Nothobranchius furzeri: one gene and its partners. The protein of the gene in region 2 interacts with the protein of the main gene of each other region in a biochemical or structural test. Links are inferred from orthologs where the notes say so. Each region holds a gene or a part of one and is shown on either strand. Other genes may lie near its edges. The genes, in order: rnf6, cdkn1bb, cdc34b, cullin-1, grb2b, cdk5 and akt1.

Evidence for each region.
Region 1: of the proteins of cdkn1bb (region 2) and rnf6, one has a biochemical effect on the other in vitro, tested with the Homo sapiens proteins (2 studies listed by BioGRID, with this or other methods). The link is inferred for Nothobranchius furzeri from reciprocal best matches to the Homo sapiens genes CDKN1B and RNF6.
Region 3: of the proteins of cdkn1bb (region 2) and cdc34b, one has a biochemical effect on the other in vitro, tested with the Homo sapiens proteins (3 studies listed by BioGRID, with this or other methods). The link is inferred for Nothobranchius furzeri from reciprocal best matches to the Homo sapiens genes CDKN1B and CDC34.
Region 4: the proteins of cdkn1bb (region 2) and cullin-1 form a complex in vitro, tested with the Homo sapiens proteins (2 studies listed by BioGRID, with this or other methods). The link is inferred for Nothobranchius furzeri from reciprocal best matches to the Homo sapiens genes CDKN1B and CUL1.
Region 5: the proteins of cdkn1bb (region 2) and grb2b form a complex in vitro, tested with the Homo sapiens proteins (2 studies listed by BioGRID and IntAct, with this or other methods). The link is inferred for Nothobranchius furzeri from reciprocal best matches to the Homo sapiens genes CDKN1B and GRB2.
Region 6: the proteins of cdkn1bb (region 2) and cdk5 form a complex in vitro, tested with the Homo sapiens proteins (2 studies listed by BioGRID and IntAct, with this or other methods). The link is inferred for Nothobranchius furzeri from reciprocal best matches to the Homo sapiens genes CDKN1B and CDK5.
Region 7: of the proteins of cdkn1bb (region 2) and akt1, one has a biochemical effect on the other in vitro, tested with the Homo sapiens proteins (2 studies listed by BioGRID). The link is inferred for Nothobranchius furzeri from reciprocal best matches to the Homo sapiens genes CDKN1B and AKT1.

What each region holds. Positions count from the first base shown.
Region 1 is NC_091747.1:51,004,087-51,008,152, forward strand, and holds the start of rnf6 (E3 ubiquitin-protein ligase RNF6), read right to left. Parts: upstream 2,801-4,066; 5' UTR 2,781-2,800; coding exon 2,744-2,780; exon of another isoform or gene 2,701-2,743; intron 1,719-2,700; coding exon 1,563-1,718; intron 1,315-1,562; coding exon 1,150-1,314; intron 1,001-1,149; coding exon 1-1,000. UniProt on the Homo sapiens protein: E3 ubiquitin-protein ligase mediating 'Lys-48'-linked polyubiquitination of LIMK1 and its subsequent targeting to the proteasome for degradation. Negatively regulates axonal outgrowth through regulation of the LIMK1 turnover.
Region 2 is NC_091744.1:57,771,973-57,776,095, reverse strand, and holds cdkn1bb (cyclin dependent kinase inhibitor 1Bb), read right to left. Parts: upstream 2,700-4,123; 5' UTR 2,434-2,699; coding exon 2,007-2,433; intron 1,877-2,006; coding exon 1,761-1,876; 3' UTR 1,746-1,760; intron 826-1,745; 3' UTR 501-825; downstream 1-500. Other genes in the region: yars2 (tyrosine--tRNA ligase, mitochondrial), read right to left, coding at 3,915-4,074. UniProt on the Homo sapiens protein: Important regulator of cell cycle progression. Inhibits the kinase activity of CDK2 bound to cyclin A, but has little inhibitory activity on CDK2 bound to SPDYA. Involved in G1 arrest. Potent inhibitor of cyclin E- and cyclin A-CDK2 complexes.
Region 3 is NC_091751.1:57,908,530-57,912,636, reverse strand, and holds the start of cdc34b (cell division cycle 34 homolog (S. cerevisiae) b), read right to left. Parts: upstream 2,801-4,107; coding exon 2,615-2,800; intron 2,531-2,614; coding exon 2,444-2,530; intron 2,353-2,443; coding exon 2,255-2,352; intron 678-2,254; coding exon 543-677; intron 430-542; coding exon 219-429; 3' UTR 1-218. Other genes in the region: splicing factor Cactin, read left to right, coding at 3,926-4,107. UniProt on the Homo sapiens protein: E2 ubiquitin-conjugating enzyme that accepts ubiquitin from an E1 ubiquitin-activating protein, and catalyzes its covalent attachment to other proteins by an E3 ubiquitin-protein ligase complex. In vitro catalyzes 'Lys-48'-linked polyubiquitination.
Region 4 is NC_091747.1:63,552,676-63,556,175, forward strand, and holds part of cullin-1, read left to right. Parts: intron 1-1,695; coding exon 1,696-1,772; intron 1,773-1,839; coding exon 1,840-1,958; intron 1,959-2,882; coding exon 2,883-2,988; intron 2,989-3,059; coding exon 3,060-3,107; intron 3,108-3,235; coding exon 3,236-3,318; intron 3,319-3,388; coding exon 3,389-3,494; intron 3,495-3,500. UniProt on the Homo sapiens protein: Core component of multiple cullin-RING-based SCF (SKP1-CUL1-F-box protein) E3 ubiquitin-protein ligase complexes, which mediate the ubiquitination of proteins involved in cell cycle progression, signal transduction and transcription.
Region 5 is NC_091752.1:67,694,930-67,698,429, reverse strand, and holds part of grb2b (growth factor receptor-bound protein 2b), read left to right. Parts: intron 1-235; coding exon 236-358; intron 359-670; coding exon 671-839; intron 840-3,500. UniProt on the Homo sapiens protein: Non-enzymatic adapter protein that plays a pivotal role in precisely regulated signaling cascades from cell surface receptors to cellular responses, including signaling transduction and gene expression.
Region 6 is NC_091751.1:49,904,740-49,908,887, reverse strand, and holds the start of cdk5 (cyclin-dependent kinase 5), read right to left. Parts: upstream 2,801-4,148; 5' UTR 2,664-2,800; coding exon 2,627-2,663; intron 2,335-2,626; coding exon 2,246-2,334; intron 2,174-2,245; coding exon 2,106-2,173; intron 2,021-2,105; coding exon 1,960-2,020; intron 1,877-1,959; coding exon 1,820-1,876; intron 1,727-1,819; coding exon 1,631-1,726; intron 1,496-1,630; coding exon 1,421-1,495; intron 1-1,420. Other genes in the region: abcb8 (mitochondrial potassium channel ATP-binding subunit), read right to left, coding at 4,005-4,088. UniProt on the Homo sapiens protein: Proline-directed serine/threonine-protein kinase essential for neuronal cell cycle arrest and differentiation and may be involved in apoptotic cell death in neuronal diseases by triggering abortive cell cycle re-entry. Interacts with D1 and D3-type G1 cyclins.
Region 7 is NC_091758.1:33,910,168-33,913,667, reverse strand, and holds part of akt1 (RAC-alpha serine/threonine-protein kinase), read left to right. Parts: coding exon 1-17; intron 18-156; coding exon 157-222; intron 223-643; coding exon 644-712; intron 713-1,292; coding exon 1,293-1,418; intron 1,419-2,663; coding exon 2,664-2,792; intron 2,793-3,500. UniProt on the Homo sapiens protein: AKT1 is one of 3 closely related serine/threonine-protein kinases (AKT1, AKT2 and AKT3) called the AKT kinase, and which regulate many processes including metabolism, proliferation, cell survival, growth and angiogenesis.

The DNA of each region.
Region 1 (4,066 bases), on a different chromosome or scaffold from region 2:
CGAATCCTTCTCACCTGCAGGTCCAGCATGATGGTGGGGTGGCGTCTCACTGCTGAACCTCCAGCTCCTGTGACGTGTGAATCCCTCTCAAGCTCCACAGTCTCCACAGCCGTCTCGGTTAGAGCAGCAGGTTCTGACACGGTCTCCCCAGTCTCCATCGACACCGAGGTTGTTACACTGGCTGGCTGAGTGTGGACAGCAAAACCAATTGGGACGCTGCTGGAGGATGGTGCAGTACTTGGAACAGGTGTTCTGTGCAAAGGAGAACGACTTCTTCTAGACACACGAGATGAAACTCCACTCCCTGTTGTAGCCCTACGGGCACGACCACGCGATCGAGTCCTACTGCTGCGTGATTCGTGTTCCACAGGTGGGGCCTGTGATTCAGATTGGAGTGACACCTGAGGACAGTCTGGAGGAGTAGACATTCCATCCTGCCTTTGCTCCACCTCTACATGCAGGAGCGGACGCTGGGAAGGTGTGGTTTGATCAACAAGAGAACTGGGGACAACAGACAAAGGTGCGGAAGAGTGCAAAGTGTTGACCCTCCTTTGACCAGAAATCTCTGGAGGTGGCGGCACATGGAGGCTAACAGGAGGAGTGGTAGTGCTGCTACGTGTACGTCGAGTCTCCATCCTCCTACTGATGGCAGGACGGGGGGAAGGATATGGGGCTGACCTTGGTGCAGCTGAAGGGCGAGAGCTGGAGAGTGAGAAAGCAGTGCGTGTAGAGGGTGCTGTTGTGTTTGAAGGAGTCAGCTCTGCAGTATCTGCGGTGTTCACACCGTCATTATGCTCTCCAGGCTCAGGTTGATCGTGGTTTATGTTGATCTCTAAGCTAAAACGAAATTCCCCACTGTTGGGGTTGGTCCGGCTAACAGCCCGCCATGTCTGGTTGCCGCTCTGTCCACTCCGGGTGGCATTACCAGTACGTCTGAAAGTGTTGAGCCACTCCAGTAATGAATCGCCATTAGAAGGTTCTGCTCCAGGTTCTGTGTTCCCTGTCAAAATGTTTTTAAAAAGTTAGAACTTAGTAAGAAAACATTTGCAGTTATCTTAAGTCCCAAAATTCCTGGTGAATGCTATTGTCTGGTTTGTTTAATCCTAACCATGGAACCAGAAAAGTCAGATAAACACAAGAACATCATACCTGCCCCTCCTCTTCCTCCAGCACCTCTCTCCTCTCCCCCGCTGCTACTGCTCTGTTGTTCTCCAGCGTCAGCAGTCTGTGAGCGTTGCTCAGTGCCGGGCTGAGACAACACACGCTCTTTTGCTCCATCCAGACGCTGTCGCAGCTCCTCTGCAGTAACCTCCCCTGTAAAATATTTTGCACATTGAGGGTGTTTTGAGACATGAGCACCAGAGAAACACCTCTGTGCTTAGATGCTCCAAAGACAGAAAAACATAATTAAAATTATTATTATTTTTTTTTTTTAATTCTGGTTTGGAAGTACTAGATACATTTTTCACATTCACAGAAAACCTTTGGGGCTGCAACATCAAGTAAAGACTCATGTAAAGTGACAGTTTGGCCTGGACCTAAACTAGTGGGTGACTCCTCACCTGGGGTGCCCAGCAGGTTGCTGTCTCTCATGAGACGGTACTCTTCCTCACTCAGTTCATTTATGAAGTGATAGTATGCCTCCTCCCGTCGAAGACGCTCTGCCTGCCTCTGGCGTTCATCTCCCCCACCAGGAGGGTCCATCACCATGGAGAGTGCTGGGAAGCAGATGAGCAAATCATCAGCTGATGATGGAAAGTGACAGTGACACGCAAAGCTACCCACAGCAGCTTTACCTAAGTGAAAATTTGTTATGGATGCATATAAACAAGAGAATGCAGTCAAAACTGATAACAGCTCCATTCTTAAGTCGAAAGATGAGTAAATAACATTTGAGTTTGAGGTATATACGCACTCAATATGCTGTGGTGCGTTGCAGCTCAACAAGAAATGCAAATTCAAACCTGATCAGTCTTTTAAAAGGCCGAGAGGAAAACCAACGTCAACCATTTTCTACAAGAGCTACTGCAATAATCTAGCTAACATTTAGCTTGTGTGTTAGCGTCAGAAGTTAAACTATTTTGTCATGTGGAAAAAAATAACAAGAGTACAAGACAGCTAATAAGACAAATAATACCGATGTAGTCTTCATGAAAGCTAATTTTAAACAAGTGGATTTATATCGAGCGAAGGCCACGGCTAATGTAAAGCAACAAAAGTGCCGCTGTCATCATGGTCAGCGACCAATCAGCGGTCTAGCCTCGGTGACGGTCACGCCCGGCGTCCAATCGCTGTTCGGCAAAGGCGGGCCAAGCGAGGCTAACGGAGGCTTCCTCCATGTAGACGCAGAGCATCGAAGCAAAGACAAAGAATCCTGTCCGCATAATCAAACAGCAGAATGATTCAGATGTATGCCATCAACAGTGAAATTATGTGTTGTCGCACAAACGCACGAGCACGATTTGTGGACCCTTCATAAACTGCGAAGCGTAAAATTCAATGCGCAACGCTTCCGAGTGTTAACTGAACATGTTAGCACAGCCAGCAATCAGTCGATGCCCAGTGTTAGCTCCGAGAAAAAAAAGAAACACATTACCATGGGGAATTATTTTATCGATCAGTTAACACACACGAAACACACAAGTTAAAGAAATCATACTCTCGTGAGACGTGACATTAAAATTTATAAGATTTAGATACCTGACAAGGCAGTTATAATATGGACGGTTGGCTCAGCTCTCACCTCTCACAACCCAAGATGGGACCAGCGGTACAAGCATTAAACCGTCCGTCTGAAACAAGCACCGCATTTTCTTAGTTCCTACAAAACAATACTGTCCAAAGAGATGTTTATTGGTTTTTTAACCAGTTTGAAAGGCAGATCAACATTATCAAAAATAATTAATTTATGCTGTATTTAAAATGAAATTGTGTACATTTTACTTTAACATTTGTTATAAGCAGGTCCTCCTAAAAATGACTGAGATCACGATCCAAGAGTAGGTCATGAAACACCAGTGGGTGTAATTTCTAGATGATCTTCATTAATCAACGTAAATCTAAGAAGAGTAGCTAATTTGTCACTATTTATTTACTATCACGGCTATTCTCTCCACACAAAAAGATAAGAGACGATGTATGAATGAGCTAGTCAAAGAATGCTGACAGTTCTGGATAAAGTAAAGAGCCTTTAAAACAGTTTTTGTTAGTAAATCCTAGAAATAAACAAACAAATAAATAAAAGAAGATCCAAACTGTGAGCCAAATGCAAATTCAAATGCATTGTAAAATGAGTTCATAGTAAGAATTCTATTGTTTCCAGTTCCCGATAATGCAATTTTCCTACTAACTATGACCAACTTCTGTACTCATTTTATCTAATCACCTCTTTAAAATGAATGGCATCTTTTCATCTATGTTTCTGTTGTTAAAACATAAATTCACAGTGATTAGTTAACAGAGATAGAAATTAGCTTTTATTGAAGACAAATACAAGTGTTGCACTGTCATTGTGAATCCATGATAAAGAGAAATCCAAAAGGGACACAGATGTCCCTCCACAAAATTGTCCTCCAACAAATTACTTTTTACCTCTTCAACTCACCGCTACTTATATGGATAAACCCTTGAAGATGTCATAAATGGGGGTTTGTTATAAATTGTCAAACACTTCCATCAATTATTGGGTATTGACAACTTACTGAATTAAATAGGCCCAATTTTCTTATTTGCTTAAAATTTAAAAGATGGATATTTTGTTTCTTATTTACAAAATCTAATTGAAGGGCTTTTTTAACCAATAAAAACGCTTTTTGGTGGTTTCCTGTCTGTAACACGACACTAAAATAAAAAAACGCTGTTTTCACAATGTAAATGCGTTACTGATGAGGTTCTAGACACGTATTTCAACGTGGTTGGGTCTGCTTATCCCATGTTTCCATCCTCTTTTCTCCGCTGCAGGACCGTCTTTACGACGTTTTACGACAGTGCTGTCGTTGCCGACTATGTACGTCTCTTTGGAGCAGATACCGGCTGGGGGGAAACGCAGCAACAACAGAAAGAAATA
Region 2 (4,123 bases):
AAGGAAACACTCGAACATTAAAACGTAGCTGAGGCGCACAGAAAAACTTCAAAAAAATTGTTTCATAATATTCCAGGACTCTGATGCTAAAAGCACCTCGATTAAAAAATAAATATCAGAAAATCTTAACAGAATTTTTACATCTCCTCGTCGTTTAGACGAGTCCAGCCCTTTGCAGGGAGGCGCTGTAATAAATGAAAAAACAAATTAAATTACGATACGTGAGCTACATTTGTACCATTCTTCACTGCTGCATTAGGAAGCTGACGGAGTGAAGGAACACTACAGAAACGGTGAGAAGCCATGATTTTTTCTTTTTAAGTGTAGCAATTAAGGACAGTGGCAAATGTCACACAGTCTGGAAATAAAAATAAAAAACAGCATTTTGGAAACCATCACTGCAATTCTTCAAGTCAAATGAAAATTCACAACTTTTTACAAAAAGGATTGGATTTAGAATTAAGTTCCTTATGTGCTACACATGGAGACATATTTATACCTATATATATATATATCCATCTTTATTAATTTATTTACACACAGGTAGTAACAAAACGAGCAAAAAAGGGAAATAAAACCTAATTGCACACTGCTACATCGACTGCTGTTAGAGGCAGTAACTTATTTTTAATTGAGTGCCACAACTTTAGTGTTTCTATTCAGTGCTTCAACAGCGTCCTCCTCAGTCCTCAGAAGAGCCGATATGTTTCTGATGCTGCGCAGATCCTCATCCCCAAAAAGCCAACAAACAGTCAGGCCTCCAAAAAAATAAAATAAAAGATGCATATAAAAAACAACACCCTCGCAAAAAAAAAAATGCTCGAACTGTGTGGAGAAGGTGGGAAAAATAAGAAAAAAAAAAGGTTAGTATTAACATTTTTGAAAAATCATCTTTTAACAATTCATGGAAAAAGTTTCACTTTAATTATTTTTCATAACTAGACTGTTTATTTCAAGTGTGCACCCCCTATCAGTTTCCTATTTTTAAAAAGACTAACAAGGTTAAGCTAAACTGACCTGTTACACACACACACACACACACACACACACACACACTTATGAAACTAACAGCTATTTTGTCTTTTAGTGCAGTTCTTTCATCATATTTTATAATAAAATCTTTCAAGGATTTACTTTTGAACAGAAAAACATCCTCATATTGAATCACACCCGGTTATTGTTCAAATTTCTGTGCTAAAAAGAAACATTGATGTAAGTGTTCTCATCTGCAGCCTAAACAGGTCCTAAACCACTGTGAGGAAGATCTCATCGTGCCCATCCCTCCTCCCTTTACTTGAATTCGGACCTGCGGGTCTCCTCAGCACACTCCTCTGCCTGCAGGGACAGCGTGCGTGCGTGTGTGTGTGTGTGCGTGCGTGCGTGTGTGTGTTCAGAGACCAGCCCCTTCTCTGCTCTGCTCCGAGGGCAGTGGCTGCTGACGTGTTACTACTACACTGTTGTTCAGCCCTTGTTTACAGTTTAGTAGAAAAGCTGCAGCAGTGAGACGTTAAAGCCTTTTTCTCTCGGCAGAGTTGATCTCATTGTGATTAAATGAATATAAAATGTTGAAATGGTTACTAGAGTCCAGCATTTTACTTACTGAAGATAAAATAAGCGTGCAGCACCGTTAAAGCTACTCGATAATATGTGGAGAGAACGTGTTATATAACCTGCTGTGGCTCAGATCACAGCTGAGGAACAGAAGCTACATGCGGTTATTGTATACGGATGAGTTTAAGCCTCACCGTTTTCTCTCGGGCTCACGTCTGTCTCTTGGGACTGGGCTTTCTGGGTGTGTGTTCTACTGAGTGGCTCAGGTTCGGACAGCTAACCTCGTCTGGGCTGGTATGGGACCTCTTGTTTTGGGTCGGAGGCTCTGCGAACAGCAAAGAAATTCTGTCAGGGAAACTCGGAGCAAAAACACAAGAAGAGGGTTATAGATGTGCTTCCTGTCGGGTGAAAGCCGAGCTCCGGCTCTAAAACCTGATTAGATGCAAATGTAGTACCGTGACTAGCAGGTCTCTTCCTCAGCCCGGTGCACTCCGTTTGACCGTCGGGCTTGCTGGTATCCCCGCTCGACGCCACCAGGACGCAGTTATGGTTCCCGTTTAGATCCACACTGGTGCTCCTGGGGCAGACGCCCTTCTCCCTCCGCGGCTGCCGGTGGTAGAAGTCCGGCATCTCCTCGGAATCCACTAGTTCCCATTTGAACCTGCCGTTGCTCAGTGGCGTGTCACTGGCGAAGTCGAAGCCCCACTTGGCAGCGGCAGCCTCTTTGAACTCCCGCATGTGTTCGTTAAAATCCTTCTTTAACTCTTCGTGATCCACCGGGCCGAACAGACTTCTGCAGGCAGACGGCTTCGGGTGCTCCGACACCCGGGCCTCCGTCCGCTCCAACGTCGGACTCCCGTTTGAAACTCGAACATTAGACATTTCCCCTCCCCCCAATAAACACGCTATTTTCAGTCAGCCGGGAGCGTCCAGCTGTCATAAGAAAAACACGTCGCTGAAAAAAAAATACAAATAAAAAACAACAACAGCGGTATCTCCAGGTCACGGGGGAAAGATCCGACGCAGCTCTACACCTATGCCATGCATACGTCGAAGTGGAAGACGTTAACTGCTGCGGGGCTCTGGAGTCGAAGATGGTCTCCGAGAATCATCAAAACAAAGTGCACAGGAACTGAGGACGCTGTCAGTTTCGCTCCGCTCAGAGAGAAACTGCAGAGAAACCTCAGCACCCAATATGGCGATTGAGGAGCAGAGCAGTGGTGGGGACTGAGACGGGAGGGGGAGGGGCTTATGATTGACACACAGAGCTATTTAAACCCGGCAAAGGACGCTCATTGGTTAAGCGACACCTGGCCCCACCTACTTTATTTAAAGTGACAGTAGGCGTGTATGAGTGGGGAAGTCGGCTCATATTTTTCCATCACGTTTTACTAAAATAAATATTTATGTATGCTTCTTAAAAATAGAAAACGTATTTTTGTGTAAATGACTACATCACACAAGCTTTATAGTTACACATCTAAAAAAAATACTAAATTTACAGGTAATTTGCAAAGGAGTCAAAACCATTATTTTTCTAAACATCTTCAGTGTGCATTACTCTGTTTTTAATAGTTGATTTATTCTAAATATAAGTATTAACCAAATATTTACCAAATTTAAAAAAAAAATCCAGCATCATAAAGCAACACACGTATGCCAAAGACACACTACAACGGAGTGTAAAACAAAACTAATAAGCCAAGAACCTGCAGAAATCAAACCTGCCGTGGGTCGAGCATTGGTTTTTACATCGCAGCTGAAAAAATTCACAATTTCACATAAAAGTCAGCATGCACTCCCAAAAGAGAGAATTACATCATTATATATATATAATACAAATAATTTAAGGTAGTTTCTTTTTGTCAATGACTGCATGAAAACCTTTTTTCTCCTTTTGTTACTTTTTACACAAACTGACAGAAAATAAAACACCAGACGTAAGGCTGATTTTGGCCTCATGTTCCAAAATAAAAGTGCAGTGTTTAAACTGTTTTGTGAGAAATGATGCAATGTACTTTTACTGGAAAAAATGTTTACTTAAAAGGGTCACAGCAGGATAAGTGGTGCAGATGAGGCCGGCTACAGCCAGCCATTAAAACAATAGCGCCATCTTGTGTTCACTTGACTAAACTATTGCAGCACAAAATCAGCAAGAAACCAATCTTATCAAATACTTTAATACCACACTTTTAAATAAGCATCACAGCTATGCATTTACATATTTATATGTCCATAAAAACAAATACTTATAAAGTAAAAGTCCATCAAAATCTTCTCACTGACTGCCAAAGTATTGCTGCCTACCTTCGTCATCAGTCATTACAGTTTAGTTTAGTGCCTTCATTCTCAATCAGGGAGTGTCAGAGGCCGAGCCACTTGATGATGTAGAAATTCCTTTTTCCTACTTTGAGCAGCGTGAGTCCATTAGTCAGGATGTGGACTTTGGGGATCAGCACCTGCTCTGGATGGTCAGCCCGTTTGTGGTTAATCGAGATTGCCCCCTCTGAAACCATCCGATACCTGCCAACATAAACATGTATGATTAAGACTCTGGGTTAAAGGAGAATGA
Region 3 (4,107 bases), on a different chromosome or scaffold from region 2:
AATTGGTGGCTGTGCTGGTGCAAAAGTGACCACAGTCTGACCCTCTCGCAACGAGGCATCAGTTTTAACCTCTGAGGCTGAAGGAAAAAAGCTCTTGTACTGATTTAGAAGGAAGCTTCCAATCTCTCTTGGTTGCAAACCAAGAATATCTGGCAACCCAGGAAGAGTTAAAGGATGAGCATTCGTCAGCTAGGTTGGGTTTTCTGACAACAAGAATGTCACGACTCCTCATTGCCCGAGTCATCCTCGTCATAGCAACAGTCGCCGTCTCCCCCCTCCACGTCATCGTCTTCATAGTAATAGTCATAGAAGAGGTCAGAGCCTTCGTCTGGCGGCGGGGCGCGTGTACGAACGCAGTATTCAGCTAGCGTGGTGGGCACCTTCACGCCATCTCGCTCTGCTTCTGCCTTTGTGGCCAGCACCTGTTTCCTGAAGGGATTTGTTTTATGAAGACTGAATTACTTTTGTGTGGATGGTGTGGCTTTGAAAATCTTTTAGAAATATTTGAGGTTTGTCTTAAATAACATTACACTAATGTTTACCTGATGATCTCTACATATTCCCGGTCCTTGCCTTTGCTGTCTCTCCATTTCCGGTACATGACAGAGGCGTCCACGTTGGCAGGGGAGAAGGTGTTGGGTTCATTTAGCAGCGAGATCACGCTCAGCAAAATGGTCCTAGAAGCAAAAAACAAAGGCAACTTAGTATAGAACCATAAGAAAACGACTTTAGGTGAATTAAAAAGTTTTAAACACATAAAAAATATTTTAATGTCACAAGCCTAAATTACTTATTTCATCTACTATTTTATTAGAATAAACAATGAAGCACATATTACATTAGGAACTTAAAGCTAATTGATAAAACATGTATTAAAAAAACCTGTCAGACCCATGTGCTACCACCCTACCAGAATCAGAATCAGAATAGGTTTATTGCCATTTTCAGTGAACAAACAATTCACAAACTAGGAACTTGCTTCGGCACTAATGTGCTACATATAACATGAATAATAAGATTAAAAATAGAATAAAATAGAATAAAATATAATAATTAAAAAAACTAGAATAAAACTTTCAGCTAAAATGGCAGGTAATGGTAACATGGCCGATAACGTGACGTTGTGTCGAGTACAGAAGACCAGCATGGTTGTGTGTTTATAATCTATTCACAAGTCTAACGGCAGATGGAAAGAAGCTGTTCTTATGGCAGGAGGTTCTGGTCCGGATGGACCGTAACCTCCTGCCTGAGGGAAGCGGCTCAAAAAGTCTGTGACCCGGGTGCGAAGGGTCAGCTGTTATCCGGCCTGCACGCCCCCGAGTTCTGGAGACGTACAGGTCCTGGAGAGATGGAGGGCTGCAGCCAATCACCTTCTCAGCAGAGCGCACAATGCGCACTGACAAGCCTTTACATTACATTTATAAAACGTAGCATTGTGAGTAAGGTTTTAGTGAGTCGTTATGGGAAACAGAAAGAAGCTGCTTCTGTTTGTGGCCAAAGGAACAGCCTTTGTGACAGACTTCCTGATCTACAGATCTAATGTGTCTGCAGCAAAAATGCAAATGAGGAAATTAGGTTAGGTTAACGGTATACCACCTGCAACAACAAAAACATAAGAGCTGCACTGCATCAAGTGACCGAAACCACCAGAGCTTACATCTTTGTAACACTGCTGAAGTTGTGTGATTTCGACTACTACAGATCACAGGTTTAATATCACTTGTGAGTGTGACATCGTTGTGGTGGCTTTTACATAGATAGTTTCTTGTTGAATAGAAATCTGGCTCTCAGTTACAGAAAAAGATCAAAGATACATTTTTTTGTGCACAGATTGCATAATGTGAGCCTGACAAATAACCTCAGAAGGAAGTTTATAATAAATAAAGATGCATTTTCTCCCTCTTCTGCAGCAAAATGCTGTCAAACTCATGCGATACACTTATTGTGAGTCACAATGAATTAAGGTACTCAAAGTATGTTTTTCATAGAAATAAACCAACAAAATCTTAGTTTGCATAGTATGATATTATCCAAAGATCAATTTAATTTTGTTTGTAAATAAGAGGAAGATGCAGATCTAGCTTTACTGCTGGCTGCTGCAGCCGGTGAAGAAGATGCTGCTGATAATGAATGTCATAAGATAAGAGTCTGCGCTGGGTGAACCATTGAAGTGATTGCAAAGTGGACAAAGATGGAAGGAGACCAGAAAGGAGAAACGTATAGAGAGAATATGATTAGAAAGAGAAATGCTAACCGAACATTCTGGGTTGGATTCCATCTCTCTGATGGGAGCTCTCCGCTCTGCGGGTCATCCACTGGAGGGTGCAGTATAGAAATACACACATCTCCATTCTACAAGAGGGGAAACAAATACATTCCATCATCAGATGCATTCATTCAAATTAAATACACTGTTATGAGTACACACACGTCAATATTTAACCTCATAGATGTTGGGATGCCACATTTTGGTTAGGAAGCGGAAAGCAGGAGGGGAGTAAGGATAATCTGTAGGAAACTTGATCCTTGCCTAGGGGGGAAAATGGGGACATCTTGTTATTTTTTAAACTACGGTCATTTCTTATATGTCATCTGATTTTAATTACAACCTTACCTTGAAATATCCCCCTTCATAATGAGTGTTTGGTGGACCAAAAATGGCGACTTCCCAGTTGTATAAATCAGCCTCGTCCACCAGAGTGATTTTAAATCCCTCCACAGGCTCTTCCTGGAGGCTCTTCATTTCCAACATGAGAGCTTTCTGCGAACTAGCTACATGAGAAGGGTCGTGTTGCGCCATAATGATTTATGAAGCTTTCAGGATTATCTGGAGGCGACAGCTTTTGTTTACACGGCTAAGCTAGCCAAGCCAGCAAACAGCACAACTTCTCCTTTTTCGATGTTCGGAGGCAAAGAAAACAGGCCGACCGCGCGTAAAAGCAAAACAAAGACTGCGGTTGGTCTGTTCCCAAATTAAACGTTATTAATGTCAAAACTCAGTAATGTTATAAACGAGAAACACATTGTGTCTGAGAGGCTCAACAGCTTTGGCTGATTTACCTGGCAGAGCAGCAGCTGATATAAGCCTTAAATCTACTGTTAGCTAAGGAAAGCTAACAAGCTCCGTCTAATTGACCAGCTGGAGCGACGTAATTACCGCAAAAACACAAAATAACTACATAAAATGGCAATTTGAAAAGACAAACGCAAAAAGTCATGTGACACTACGCCAAACTATACCTCCAGTAACCATAATTGTTTAGCCCTCATAGAAAGCTGCGAAAGGAAATGTGTTGCTGAAAGAGTCCCCTGGTAAAAACAGGTAATGGCGCCCTGTTGTTGGCTGGGACTGGTAGTCTTTCATTCCGCGTTTGTTAGATTAAAAAAACGTGAAACCAAAATAACTGAAAACCCTGGTATAATATAATTCCTGTTCTTTTTATTTATGATGTTTTTATTTTTATTTTAAATGCCCAAAAAGAAAAATAAGTTTGTTTGTGCTTGCATTTTCCTGTTAAACTGTTTAAATACGGTAGCGGTTACTATGGACGAAATATCTATGACATCAATAATAGTATTTTATCACCGACATAACTAAATTGTAAGAAAAACAATCCTGCGTTCATTTGTGGCTAATTTGTAGTTTATTAAGTGGCTGTGACGTTTTAATCTGCGCCAGTGCTCAGGAAAGCCCATTTAGGCTAGCTTTTCTTTGCCTTACTAAATACATTTGGATTTTTTATAAAAGAAATCTGACACGTAATTTTTTCTGTCATAGCACACGTTAGAGTATGCGAACATTAAACATAGACATATGTTTTTATTAGTGCGATTGTAAACGTTATTATAATCAACAGTGTTTCGTCAATGCCTCCTATTTACGCGACAGACTGCATTTAGGGCCCCGAAAAGAAGAAAGTTCGTGATGGGTTCGAAAACACGGCGTAGGTCTCGTTCCAGGTCCATAAGTCGGGGCAGAGATCACCGAAACAAGTCCAGAGTAAACAGGTCGCGATCTCCAGATGAGAGGAGAGGTCGCAACAGGTCTCCGAGCCCGAAAAGGACCACACTGGGTCGAGGCAGATCCAGCAGCGAGGCTTCGAGCGA
Region 4 (3,500 bases), on a different chromosome or scaffold from region 2:
CGCACACACACACATACACGCACGCATACGCATGCACACACATACACGCACACACACATACACGCATACGCACACACACATACACGCATACGCACACACACACGCACGCACACACATACACGCATACGCACACACACACATACACGCACGCATACGCATGCACACACATACACGCACACACACATACACGCATACGCACACACACATACACGCATGCACACACATACACGCACACACACATACAAGCATACGCACGCACACACATACACGCACGCACGCATACACACACACATGCATACACACACACACGCACGCATACACACACACACACACGCATACACACACACACACACGCACGCATACACACACGCACGCATACGCACACGCACGCATACGCACACACACATACACGCACACACACACACATACACGCACGCATACGCACACACACACACATACACGCATACGCACGCACACACATACACGCACGCATACACACACACGCACGCACGCATACGCACACACACACATACACACACGCACACACACACACGCACACACATACACGCATACGCACACACACACATACACGCACGCACGCATACACACACGCACGCATACGCACACGCACGCATACGCACACACACACACATACACGCACGCATACGCATGCACACACATACACGCACGCACACATACACGCATACGCATGCACACACACACACACATACATGCATACGCACGCACACACATACACGCACGCATACACGCATACGCATGCACACACATACACGCACACACACATACACGCATACGCATGCACACACACACACACATACACGCATACGCACGCACACACACACACACATACATGCATACGCGCGCACACACATACACGCACGCATACGCATGCACACACATACACGCACGCACACATACACGCATACGCATGCACACACATACACGCACACACACATACACGCATACGCATGCACACACACACACGCACACACACATACACGCATACGCATGCACACACACACACATACACGCACGCATACGCATGCACACACATACACGCACACACACATACACGCATACGCATGCACACACACACACGCACACACACATACACGCATACGCACGCACACACATACACGCACGCACGCATACACGCACACATGCATACACACACACGCACGCATGCATACACACACACACGCATACACACACACACACACACACACACGCACGCACACATACACGCATGCATACACACACACACGCATGCACGCACGCACGCATACACACACACACGTACGCACGCATGCATATGCACACACGCACGCATACACACACACACGCACGCATGCATGCATACACACATACACGCATGCATACACACACACACACGCACGCACGCACGCACACACGCATGCATACACACGCACGCACACACACACACACACACACACATGCACACACGCATGCATACACACACACACACACGCACGCACATACACATGCACACACGCATGCATACACACGCACGCACGCACATACACACACATACACACGCACGCGTACGTACATACACACACACATGCACATACACACATGCACGCATACACACACGCATACATACACACACACACACGGCCCAGAAGCAGCTGATTTCCTGTTTGTATGCTCTAGTGGACTTCAGCATCCAGGTTCTGAGTTCTGGATCGTGGCCGTTCCAGCAGTCGTGCACCTTCGCCCTTCCGTCGGAGGTGAGACTTCCTTAATGAAGCTGCTGCGGCACGTTGCCATGTTCTGACTCCTCCTGTCCTCCTGCAGCTGGAGCGAAGCTACCAGCGCTTCACCGCGTTTTACGCCAGCCGGCACAGCGGCAGGAAGCTCACCTGGCTGTATCACCTGTCCAAAGGAGAGCTGGTCACCAACTGCTTCAAGAACAGGTAACAGGATGTTTTAGGCCTCGTTTCTCAGACAGAACCTGCCAGAGATCAAGGTTGATCCACTGCGAGTCTCTAGGCCAACAGAAGTTGGAGTCATAGAAAGCTAATGTCACAAACAGCCTCTGAGGCTTTTATTTTGACGGGAGTGCTACAGCGTTCCTGGTGTTCTCCTGCCTGAAGAGGAGAAATAAGAGGGAATCTGCAGGCTCTAGAAAAGTTTTACAAAATGATGAATTGCATTAAGGAAAATTTTAAGTCTGGTTATCATCTTGTTCTCAACCCATGTTTGTTATTGGGTCACGAGTCGTCATGTGACCAGTCACAGGCGGCTTTGCACAAGCGTGCTGTGGCGCTACAGCGTGAACGACTGCTGTTGCTTCAACACCCCACAGCAGTTGGAGTTCACCAAATCAAACGTCCCTGCTCCTCCTCCCCCATCAGCCGTTCCAGAGGCTCGTCGACGGAGCAGTTTAACCCGTTAAAACCTGATACTAGCAGCACGAATAGTTTATTTCCTGGTGGGAAATGGCCCCAGCTCATGCACCCGTTTATTGATCCGGCATTCGAGGACACTGGAGATCCATCATGAGATGTGTCTGTGCTGCTTTTGGATGCCAGTGTTTGACCATGCGGTAACCGAGATCACGTCGTCGTCTTAATGAAGATAATTACCGTACAGCTCGGTCAGAAAGCCGGTTTCCAGTTGATCTGATGTCAGCTGATCACATGACATCAGCTGGAAGCTCAAGCTCAGAAAACAAATTATGATCTGATGTTTTATATTTGACCCAGATACATCAGAAGGTCCTTAATGAGTGTTAGATGGTCTGAGATCCCTGCACGTACCCTGAGTAAGGGAACGCTCCCAGGCCAGATATGAATCTTTCCCATAATGCATCAGTCATGTGCTGCCTGGTGCTGCAGGTACACGCTGCAGGCCTCCACCTTCCAGATGGCCATCCTGCTGCAGTACAACACGGAGGACAGCTACACGGTGCAGCAGCTGACCGACAGCACGCAGATCAAAACCGTAAGAGGCCGCTCCAACCTCAGGATCCATGTAATCAGATTACATCTAATCAGCTGGCTCTCTGTTCTCAGGATATTCTGGTTCAGGTGCTGCAGATCCTGCTGAAGTCAAAGCTGCTGGTGAGTTCAGCCGTGTGTGTGCGTGTGTGTGCATGTGTGTGTGTGTTTTAGCGATCAGGTGTAAAAACTCAACTTTTAAAGGAGCTGCAGCAGTTTTAGATTAAAACCTTTAATTTTCTTCTCATCAGGTTCTGGAGGACGAGAACGCCAACGTGGACGAGGTGGACTTCAAACCGGACACGGTCATCAAACTCTTCCTAGGATACAAGAAGTGAGGATCAGCTTTTCCTTCTGCCGTCTGGGTTTGTTGAAGCGGTTTTAAATCGGTTGTCCTCCTGCAGTAAGAAGCTGAGGGTGAACATCAACGTCCCGATGAAGACGGAGCAGAAACAAGAGCAGGAGACCACCCACAAGAACATCGAGGAGGACAGGAAGCTCCTCATCCAGGTGACC
Region 5 (3,500 bases), on a different chromosome or scaffold from region 2:
CATCGCTATTGGCTAAGAGGTACTCTAGAACGTTAGCTGGTACCATATGATGTCACAATGTTGTGGTGGGCCTGTGTGTGTGTGTGTTCGCGGCTCCGCCCTCTCGGTCTGCTAGGCAACAGCATTTGTTGCATTTTTCAAACAGGAAGTGGGAGCAGAATAATACTCTGGTAGGGTAGGGGGTGACTTGCTCTTTAAAATTTTGAATCTCACATGTTCTTGTTTGCGTTTGCAGGTGGTTCTTCGGGAAGATTCCTCGTGCCAAAGCAGAGGAGATGCTAAACAAACAGAGGCACGACGGGGCGTTCCTCATCCGAGAGAGCGAGAGCGCACCGGGGGACTTCTCCCTCTCTGTGAAGTGAGTGGAGCACCAGACCAGATGAAGTTTATCATCAGTTCAGCTTCCTTAGAGCGGATCTCCAGAGAGGGCTGCTGACTCTCGTTTCCTCATTCTGGTGCAACGTGTCTTGTCACACGTTTTTATAGATTTACAGACTGGTTTCGCTACTTTTACACCACAGATTATTTCCTGTTGCTTTTGGATTATTGGAGAACTTCACATGCAGGATTCAGTCCGGCCCGTTTCTCTGTAGTTACAAACCAAAAGCGCTGACTCGTCTGAGCTGCGAGGCGCGACTCGGCTCACACACCCTGCTGTGATCTCCCTCAGGTTCGGAAACGACGTGCAGCACTTTAAGGTTCTTCGCGACGGAGCTGGGAAGTACTTTCTCTGGGTGGTGAAGTTCAACTCCCTCAACGAGCTGGTGGACTACCACCGCACCACCTCAGTCTCCCGCAACCAGCAGATCTTTCTCCGAGACATCGAGCAGGTCCCCCAGGTAAGACCCTACTCGCCCCGGGTGAGAAGGTCCCTCAGGTCCGCTTTGACACAAACGTTCATGACCTTGAATCAGGAATAACGGGGGAGTGGGGAGAAGTAGGCCTTAGATTTAGGATTTGGGTGGTTCTTTCTGCTGTTTGGTGTCTACACACCACCTCTCAGATGTTTGGGACGTTTTTGTGGAAGCTGATTTAATCTGAGCGATAACGGGACGCGCACTGAGAAGTGAACAGGCTCTTATCAGGAGCTGTCACACGCTGTAGCCGATCCTTTCTGCTGGAACAACAAACGGTTGAGATGATGAACTCTTCAGTGTTCCAGCAGATGCGTCACTGGAGTCATCGTGAGATGCTCCAGGAAGCATCAGGATGAAATGTAATCAGATTACCATCTAAAACTCCAGCTGGGATGTCTTTACTGTAACTGCAGCAGTTTTCATTTCATTTTATTTTTTAAAGCCAACTTTTATAAAATACAGTTTTTTCTATTAAAATGTTACTTTAGCCTGAAAACATCTGCATGTCCTGCAACATCTGGACCTCGGGTAAACCGGCAGCATCGCCACAACGTTCAGTAATAACACAAAAAGATCGTTGGTGTCGAGCAGCTGTGGCGATCCCGTCTCCTGAGACCAGCGGCGATGCGTCGGTGCTCGTCTGGCGTGGTGGTTCCTTCTTCAGGGTGGCGCTCGCCAGAGTAGAAGCCACAGACTGGCGACGCTGGGCTGGCTGACAGCTGATGGGTGAACTGATGCAACACATGTAAATAACGTTTGATCGCCTCCAATGAAAGGATCATAAAAAATATCTGGGTTAGGCTAAAGATGTCATTCTCACCGCCTTCGTGTGTGTGTGTGTGTGTGTGTGTGTGTGTGTGTGTGTGTGTGTGTGTGTGTGTGTGTGTGTGTGTGTGTGTGTGTGTGTGTGTGTGTGTGTGTGTGTGTGTGTGTGTGTGTGTGTGTGTGTGTGTGTGTGTGTGTGTCTGAAAGGTAGTTAGGAGACGTGTGTGTGTTCGTCTTTTTATTCTCCGCATCTGAAATATTTTGCAAGGTTAGAAGATTTTATTCATAAAAATGTAATTTTTATTTATGCTTTTTTTTTTATTTTAGACGCAATTAAAGGAACATTTCGGCCATTTGTGTGGAAAAGTATAAATGATCTCATTCATTGTAGATTGCTTCCTGAACAGCCTCTGTTCAAAGAAATGGAGTTTATGTCCTTCAGCACTGATGAGTTCATAGCTAGACTAGGAGGAGCGAGGTCAGCTTGGATCTTTACCGTCTTAAAGTAAAAATCTCTTAGCAGCTTGTTTACATGTTGTTTCATAACCGTTTACTCAGCTGAAGACTTCCTGTGTTGTCTTCTGGCAGAAATATTAACTCATTCAATGCCAATGACGACTAAAGTCGTCATTGGCATGTTTTTACTGTGTGGGCGTTGGACGAGCCCCCGCACCGTGAGAACAAACATCTCCGCTCTGAAGCCGATCTTCATCCACGTACGTCACACGTCACGGGATCAGGAAGCAGAATATCCATGTGTTAGGAGATCGTTTTGGGCAGCTGCTGTAAAAAAAGTGAGGCGCGAACCGGAAAAGCTTCTGCCGATCACAATTCAACAACGGATTATAAAAGAACGGATAACGCTCGAAACGTGCGGATTCTTCCTGATGTAAGAGTTAGCTGTTGGCATTAGCAACTCCACCACACAGCAGAACTCCTGCTGGCTTTTGTTATTTGTGGAGATAAAACATCAACGTTGCAGAGCAACCAGAGTCAGCGTAGTGTCGTGTTGCTGTTAGCCAGTCAGAAGAAAGATGTCCGAATATCAGGAAGTAAGGCTCCAAATCCTGCCGTCTTCAGCTCAACTCTGCACCGACTCACTTCTAGTTCCTGGAACAGAAGCACAAGTCTTTTGGACGTTCTTACTGTGTTTAGTTTCTAATTCCATTTTTGGTTCTTTTTTTAAACTCAGGAAAGGTTTCTCTTTACCTTGCTGACGTTTCGTTTGCGGCTGCAAAACTTCCTCAGAGCTGATGGTGGCGTCACTTCCTACTCCGTTTATCCGCGGGCAGCAGAGGACGTTGTCGCCCTCTGCTGCCCGCTCTCCTCTCTCCGATGATGCAGTCCCATGCACGATCCAATTTGTAAACCCCATCGTCCCTGTTCATGGTCCCACATCCACGTCTCCTTATCTCTATAGCGTCCTTTGTCTATCTTTTGTATTTCTGTTGTTCGGTGTTTATGATCCTTGTGTTGTCCCAGTCCATTATATGGTTTTCTCTTGTGCAGTGGTCTGTTACGGTTGACTTCTTTATTGTGCTTTCTGCTTCTTGTTTTGCTGCTCTTGTGTGTTTTTGGCTTGTTTCTTTCTCGCACTCCTTTCTTTCTATGTTCTATTGTTCGTGTGTTGAGTTGGCGTCCGGTTTCTCCTATGTATGTTTTATTGCAGAGTTTGCAGGGGATTTCGTAAACCACTCCACATTTAAGTCCAGCTGGTATCTTGTCTTTTGGGTGTACTAGTCTGTTTCTAACCGTTGTGTATGGTTTTGTTGGTGTGTTTATGTTGTGTTTTTTCATTGTTGCTCTTATTTTTTCTGTTGTGCCTTTGATGTATGGTAGGGTTATCACTGGTTTTTTTCTTGTCTTTCTGGGTTTCTG
Region 6 (4,148 bases), on a different chromosome or scaffold from region 2:
CACGACAAACACGCTTTCTTGACAATCTTTGTGAGTAAAAAAAACGTGTAGAAACAAAAACGAACAGCGTGTGTTATTAGGGAAATAGCGAGCGACCGGCCGGCGTTGATGCAGGATTGCGCGCGCATGCGCCGTGAGCGGTTCTGATACTTTTTTGGATCGTAGCTGCTCGCAGCTGCTCGCAGCGCTGCTTCAACAGTGCGATACCCTCACGAGGGATGAGCAAAATATTAAACACACCAGAAGTCCCTGCGACCTCACGACTGCTGATCGGCGGCTGGTCACGTGGTGTTAATCGCCTCTCGTAACCCCCTGCACACTACACGACCGCTCGGCGCAAAACTCGCCCCGATGTCGTGGATTCTCGCACGACTGGAAAATCGGCTCAAAAAAGTGAAAAAGTCGCACAGTGTACGCCCGGCTTAACTTCGGTACATACCATGAAACTTTCATTTTGCAACTTGCAGAAAACAATGTACAAATTTCAAATTACAACTTTCAACACACAAATCTCAGTCTAGTTACAAAACTCAAGTCTACAAATACAAAACATTTAGGAACAATTCTAGCTTGCAGGAAACAGGAATTTTATTTGAAAAGGAATCCAAGACTCATGATTGGCTGGTCAGACAAAGCCTGTCATTGGTTCTTTGGGAAGGAAGCTAGAATTTGGACAAAATGTTTTGTACTTGTAGACTGAGATTTGTGTGTTGAAAGTTGTAATTTGAAATTTGTACATTGATTGTTTTCTGCAAGTTACAAAATAAAAGTTACAGTTACAAAACATGTTACAGGTTACAAAGCTGGGTACAAGTTACATATTGTCTCAATTCCAGTTCCATAAAAAACCTCCAACCTCCATAAATATGCAGGAATCTCAGCTAGACTTGATTGAACACAAGAAAAACTTCCCAACTCTTTGTAAATGTTGCATATAAAAATAATTTGTCACATTTTGTCAAACAGAGGTATGATCTTTTTGTTTTCTGAAATAAAACAATCTTATAAATGACCTAATTTCAAACTCTCAGTGTTTTAAGTTTTCAGTTTGCCACATTTCTACATTGTAGTGTCACTCTGGTTGAGCCTTTCATACATAAAAGCTTGGTCCTGAGGTCAGTCTTATCATTTTTTCAGATAATAAACAAATTTCTAAAATTTCACGTCCCTCTGAACAACCCACTTAACATTTATATGCACACAGAGGGACACAGATCTGTCTTTGTTGCTCAGTTTAATGTCAAACATAGTGTGAAAGCAACCCACACATATTTCTATGTGTACTACATTTTAGTTAATTTCTAGATTTTAAATCTCACTTGTATAAAAAATTGCAAATAAAATCATCTTGGCTTCTCTCTTGCAACAGATTCAGAAATTTCCCCTACTTTTAAAAAAAAAATTCTAATGTCCAACTTACCTCTGCTGAGTAACATCTGACAGGAATGCCGAAGGCTCGAGCCAACCCAAAATCAGCTAGCTTCAGTTCTCCGTTCTACAGATGAAGAAACAATTTATACATTTCTTTATTAATCCCACCACCAGCACAGCATTTAGCTGTGGTTCTTTAATGAACATTGAATTCAGCATTGCGTAACAAAAAGAGCATAATTCCTGATTTGATACTTACTCTGTTGATGAGGAGATTCTGGGGCTTCAGATCTCTATGAAGAACATTTCGACTGTGACAGAAAGCAAGGCCTTTCAGCAGTTGGTACATGAACGACTGCAGAGGGAATTCAAGAATAGAAGTTAAATTTAGTAACAATCAATTTAACCTGTAACTATCAAGGCAACCAGGTGTCATGTCTCATGTCACCTTTACAGTTTCTGGATCTAGATCGCCATTACAGCTGTCAAAATACTTCTTCAAGTCCTATATTGGACAAGAAAACACACTTTAGCAACATAATGTCTATATTAAAAGGAGGGGGAATATTTGGAAAACTAGTAACTAACCTGATCACAATATTCAAAAACCAAGGTTAACTTCTTGTCACTGTGCAGCACATCATGTAGTCTGGAGAGAAAAACAATCAGATGATTCATTTTGGCATCAAGTTATTATTTTAATGCTGCTTTTTAACTCCTCTGGGTAAACAGACCTGACGATGTTCTTATGCTTTAATTCCTTAAGAAGACATATTTCTCTCAAAGCTGAACTTGGCACTCCCTGAAAAACACCTATCTGGGTTAGCACTAGCAAGCTAAACATTAGCGTCTATCTATATTTTAGTATACCAACCTCGTCGTCGTCGTCCAGCCTGACCCGTTTCAACGCCACTATTTCGTGGGTTTCTCTATTTTTTGCCTTGAAGACGGTCCCATATGTACCTACAAAATAAATAATGTCCAGTTGTCACAAACCGGATGAATGCCAAAGCAGCTAGTTAGCTATTTATTTACATACCCACCACTAGCCTGTTACTGGCACCGTGAAATTTATAGGAATCGGCTTACGTTTATAAAGCAAACTCACGCAGATTTGCATTAAATTTAAGTACTATGCATATGAATAACAAAATATATAGCATATACACAAGTCTAATTCAGCAAGCCCTGAGCTAGCATTGATGCTATGTTAGCGTTTACTTCAGCAAGCTAATATTGCCCCAAATAAACTCACCCTCTCCGATTTTTTCAAGCTTTTCATATTTCTGCATGTTCTGTGAGTGAAACGAGCCTTGATGAAGCTTGCAAACAAATGAAGGACAAAACCCCGAGCCTGGGGTGGCTAGAATATTGCAGAAGCTAACGCCGATACTAGGCTCAGTGAGTCAGTGTTCTGTTTAGACCGCAACAACAGGTGCGCTCTTGGCTGACACCTAGAGGGCAAAATATGAACTGCTGGATGCGGAAAATGTTATTTTGGAGCTTCAACAAATAAAGGCAAGATAATATTTAACTCAGTGAGAACTAAAATAAAAAGCCATTAAGTTAAGCATATTTAACGAAAGAAAAGAAGGAAAAACTGTTGTTTTAATTATCTCTGATTAATGCATCGTTATTTGATACTGACTCCATAATACCTAAGCACCATCTAATAATAGCCACTGGGAAAGTCATGTTGAACTTTAAAAGAAAAAAATCACATTTACTATAAATGACTTGCTATAAATGACAGAAATATAAAATGAACGTTTCATTTTAACTGCCACTGGGGTCAAATTAATTTTAGAATCAGAAGGATTTTATTGTCACATGTGCGAGGAATCACAACATTAGGAAATTGCTGCTCTTAGATAATAAAACCATACTAACAATTTAAGATTCATTATAGACAGATATCTGAACAAAACACTCTTAGACTGCATCCCCTCATTTGTAAGATGATCGTTTCAAATCAAATCTCTGACTGCAAATGTTCTCTTGAAAGCCATCAGGTTACATTTGTATTTTTTAAACGTTTCCCAGAGAGTCTGATTTATCCATCTAATGGAATAAACCTCATTTCAAAGTCCGATAAACCTCAGCGCTTTATTTGTTAAGCCTTGTAAACAAGATTGTAATCCTGTTTACTAAGACAGCAAATATACTAGGTGTGGTGTCTTGGTAAAGATTTTTCTTAGTGCTAGAGGATATCTGAGCTCTGTGTTTAAAGATTCACCAGTTAAAGAACATTCTGAAATAACTGAAGCATTTCAAAGGAAACGCAGAAAGCATCAAAACAGCAGTTCCCAAAAGTTAGATCACAAAAACAAGATTCAAATTTTTATACTTTAAACGGTTTAATAATGTTTTAGTTTTTAAATGTTTATGTACTATTTTTCCATACAAGATAGACAAAAACCCAGGGGCTATATTTTTATTTTAATTTATCTGCACAGTAGTGTATTTTGAAATAAACACATTGGTCCATTAATACTTAAACACAAACTGTTTAAAATGTATAGCTAAGCTGCTGCTAAACTGAAAGCAGGTAAATGTACTACACATTTGATGTTATTTAATAAACAAATGTTTTTTATATATATAACTGGTCTACTGGAAACAAACTGTTGTGTCTATTTTTGCCCCTCGGCTTTTTGTCTGCGGATCAGATCAGAGTAGAGTCCTCCTTTGCCCAGTAGTTCCAAATGTGTCCCAGCCTGCAAAGAAAGAAAACATCTTTTTTAATAAACTGAGACATTTAATCAGAGGTCAGAGTC
Region 7 (3,500 bases), on a different chromosome or scaffold from region 2:
AGGTGATCGTAGCAAAAGTGAGTGGTTGCCAGAGAGCCGAGTGAAAAAGGGGTGAAAGCTACTCGGGTTTAGGAGGGCAGCGGCGCAATGACTGATACCTAAATAGTTAGCTATTGTGAGACTTGCACAAACACTCTTTGTGCTTTTCTTTTTCAGGATGAAGTGGCGCACACACTCACAGAGAACAGGGTCCTCCAGAATTCAAAGCATCCGTTCTTGACTGTAAGGAGCCCCTCCGTATACCCAAAACCTTACGTTAACCCACAGAAATCCTCAGGAACCTCTTCAGTCCAGTCCAGCAGAATCCATTCAGAAAATCTGGGCTGGAGTGTTTGAAGTGATGTGCCTGTTTATAGCAACACTGGGCTTTTAGTTTTTTATTTGTTAACCCCCTTTTTTTTTTTTTTGACTAAGAGGTGGGTTGGCAGGTGGAGACATAATGCATCGGCTTCAATGTAGACCAGATGACAACGGTTCTTTAAAACCTCCACAAATCGGATCATTGATGTTCCCTTTTTGGTTGGGTGTTCCCACAGTTCTTTGTATTAAAATGCATTTTGTTTCCAGCTGTTTTAAAGGGCAGCTTCCTCCTGATTTCTCTCTAAACCTCAAGTTCTGCTTTAAACATGTTCTTCTTCTGCAGGGACTCAAATATTCCTTCCAGACACACGACCGCCTGTGCTTCGTCATGGAATATGCAAACGGCGGCGAGGTAGGCCGTTTTACCGGTGCCCTCACGACTAAGACCCTGTACACACGTAGTCGGGTATCCCACTAAACAAAGATATTTTCTGTCATCCACGCAAAAGTGAAGATCCAGGGCACCAAACGCGAATCTTTCAAATACCCGGACCAAAATGGAAATTTGTGAATTCTCCATCGTCAGCATGTGCTTGTGGACATAAAAAACTGGGTTTTAGGTTTTGTACTGTCACATGTGTGACCTGTTTACACTTACCTCCTTGTTCTTATTAGCTCGGTGGCTGCTCTGGTGAAGAAGACGCAGGTGAAAGACGATGTTGAGGACGGCTGTTGGCTGCCACCTTGTTATTCCACATCCATGGAATGTTTTTCGGCAAAGACGCCAACAATTTGGGGAACTACCGTCCCCTACAGGCTTGGGATGCCTACGAATGTGCTTCACAGTGTGCTAGATTATTTTGCCCAAAACGAGACCCAAGTTTTCTTCCTAAATGGAGGGGGGGGGGTAGTCGGCTACGTGTGTACATGGCTTCAGTTTCTCCCTTCTGGACAATTACTGAATCCTCGTTTTCTCCCCTACGTTTCCTCAGCTTTTTTTCCATCTGTCAAGAGACCGGGTTTTCTCCGAGGAACGGGCTCGGTTCTACGGAGCAGAGATAGTGTCGGCGCTTGATTACCTGCACGCCGAGAGGAACGTGGTTTATCGTGACTTAAAGGTAAGCGGGAAATTGTGCGCTCGCCTTTGTCCATTCTGGCCTCTTCTACTCATTTTTTCGCTCTCGCTTCCTTCCGTCGTCCTTCGGAAGGGTTTATCTTCCTCCTGAGCAGTGGCCGTGGCCAAGCCTTATTGATCTGCTTCCTCCAGGCCTCACTGCAGCTGGAGACGAGCTTGGTCCATACATTACTGCAGAGAGACGGAAGTAAACACCAGGCTCTTTGAACAGATTGCGACCTCCTCCAGTTATAGCGTGCATTCGATGCCCAGTGGGTGATATCTGTGCACTTTGTAATTGATACCGTTTTATAAGTTGACGCTGTAGAAAATAATTAATTTTGTTAACAGAAACCATCCTTCGTCTCCAGCTAAGATGTTTTTGGCTTCTAGTTCTGAATTTGAGGGAAACACAGAACCAGAATCCTTCAGTGCAGCAATTGATGGGCATCTTGTTGTTTAGGTGGGTTATAAATGCTGCAGTGGGCATCTGTAGGCATACTACTTTCAGCAGATAAAACTATACCAGCCAGGTCAGCACAGCACACACTCCCTCCCCCCCGGTTTCCTTCCCTGGGGTTTTACGAGGCAGGCTCCCAGCCTGCGAGGGTTCTCCTGAAAATGCCAGGATAGCAGGATTGGAGGATGTGCTGACTCTGGCTGGGCGCTGCTGGCCACGTGTGAGCTACAGCTGTCAGGTGACTATCTGGAGGGGGGTGAGGGCCAGAATGAGCAACCTCACGTCATGGAACTGAATGATGTCCACTTTGAGTAAATTTTTACTTGGCACAGATTTTGAATTGTATTTAAGGAAGTGGCAGCCAAGAGGGTGGAGTTTGCTGCTTTAGTCGTGAAGTTGATGGTTCTGAGCTCGTCTGTTTCTCACTATAATTTAAATCAATGCTTCAGTTGAATAAAAAGTTCAAAACGGAGGAAATTTGACAAATTTTTTCTAATTTCAGTTAAGAGAAGGACAGAATAAAGGGATTGTTTTCATCTAAATAATTATTTTTGTACTAAGATGTACGGATTATCTAAATATTACATTTGAATAAGGAATAAAGACAGAGCTAGAGTTACGACATTGTGTTTAAGAAACCCGTAAAAAGGAGCAAAAACAACAGTTGTGGCCAAAATACACACACGCGTTTGTATGTTTTTATTTTAAAGTTAGTACAAACTGCATCTTGTATTAAGGAGATGAAAGTTGATTTCATGTAGAAAACGAAACCTTTTCTTCCCTCCTTAGCTGGAAAACCTCATGCTGGACAAAGACGGACACATAAAGATCACAGATTTCGGTCTGTGTAAGGAGGGGATCAAAGACGGTGCCACTATGAAAACTTTCTGTGGGACACCTGAGTACCTTGCACCTGAGGTAAACACAAATCTACCTCTACTTACGTTGTTTTTAACAGCAGGCAACCTTCACTAAATTGGTGACAACATAACAAAGACTGTGTAAGTTCTGAGTTTAGGTGTTTGAGTGTTTTTCTTTTACAAATCTATCCAGTATATTAAATTCCTGCTTGTCTGGATTGAGAAAGATGAATGCCTGCATATGAAGTTTAAAACTTTGGTAACACTTTAGTTTAGGGAACACAAATTAACCATTAATTAGCTGCCAATTAATATGCATATTAGTGGACAACTAAGTCTGAACTAGTCATTATTAAGCACTTATTAACAGCTTATTACTAATGCTGTCATTCTGTCACTAACAGGCCATAAATTAAGAGTTTTATCAAAATAAGCCATTCATAGTGGTTTGTTGCTGATTCAATATCAACAATATGTGGCTTTTAACTCATTCACTGCTGGCCGTTTCCTGATCGCCAACAGCCTTCGCTGCCAGCGTTTCTCACCGTTTTTACTGTTTTTTTAAGAGTCACAGAACGTTGCGCGCTAGGATGATGTCGACGCCAAAACAAAGAGGAGACTCACCTCTTACATCAGGAAGAATCTGTGTGTTTCGAGCGTTATCCGTTCTTTCATAATCCGTTGTCGAATTGTGATCGGCAGACGCTTTTCCGGTTCGCGCCTCACTTTTTTTACAGGAACGGCCCAAAACGATCTCCTAACACAT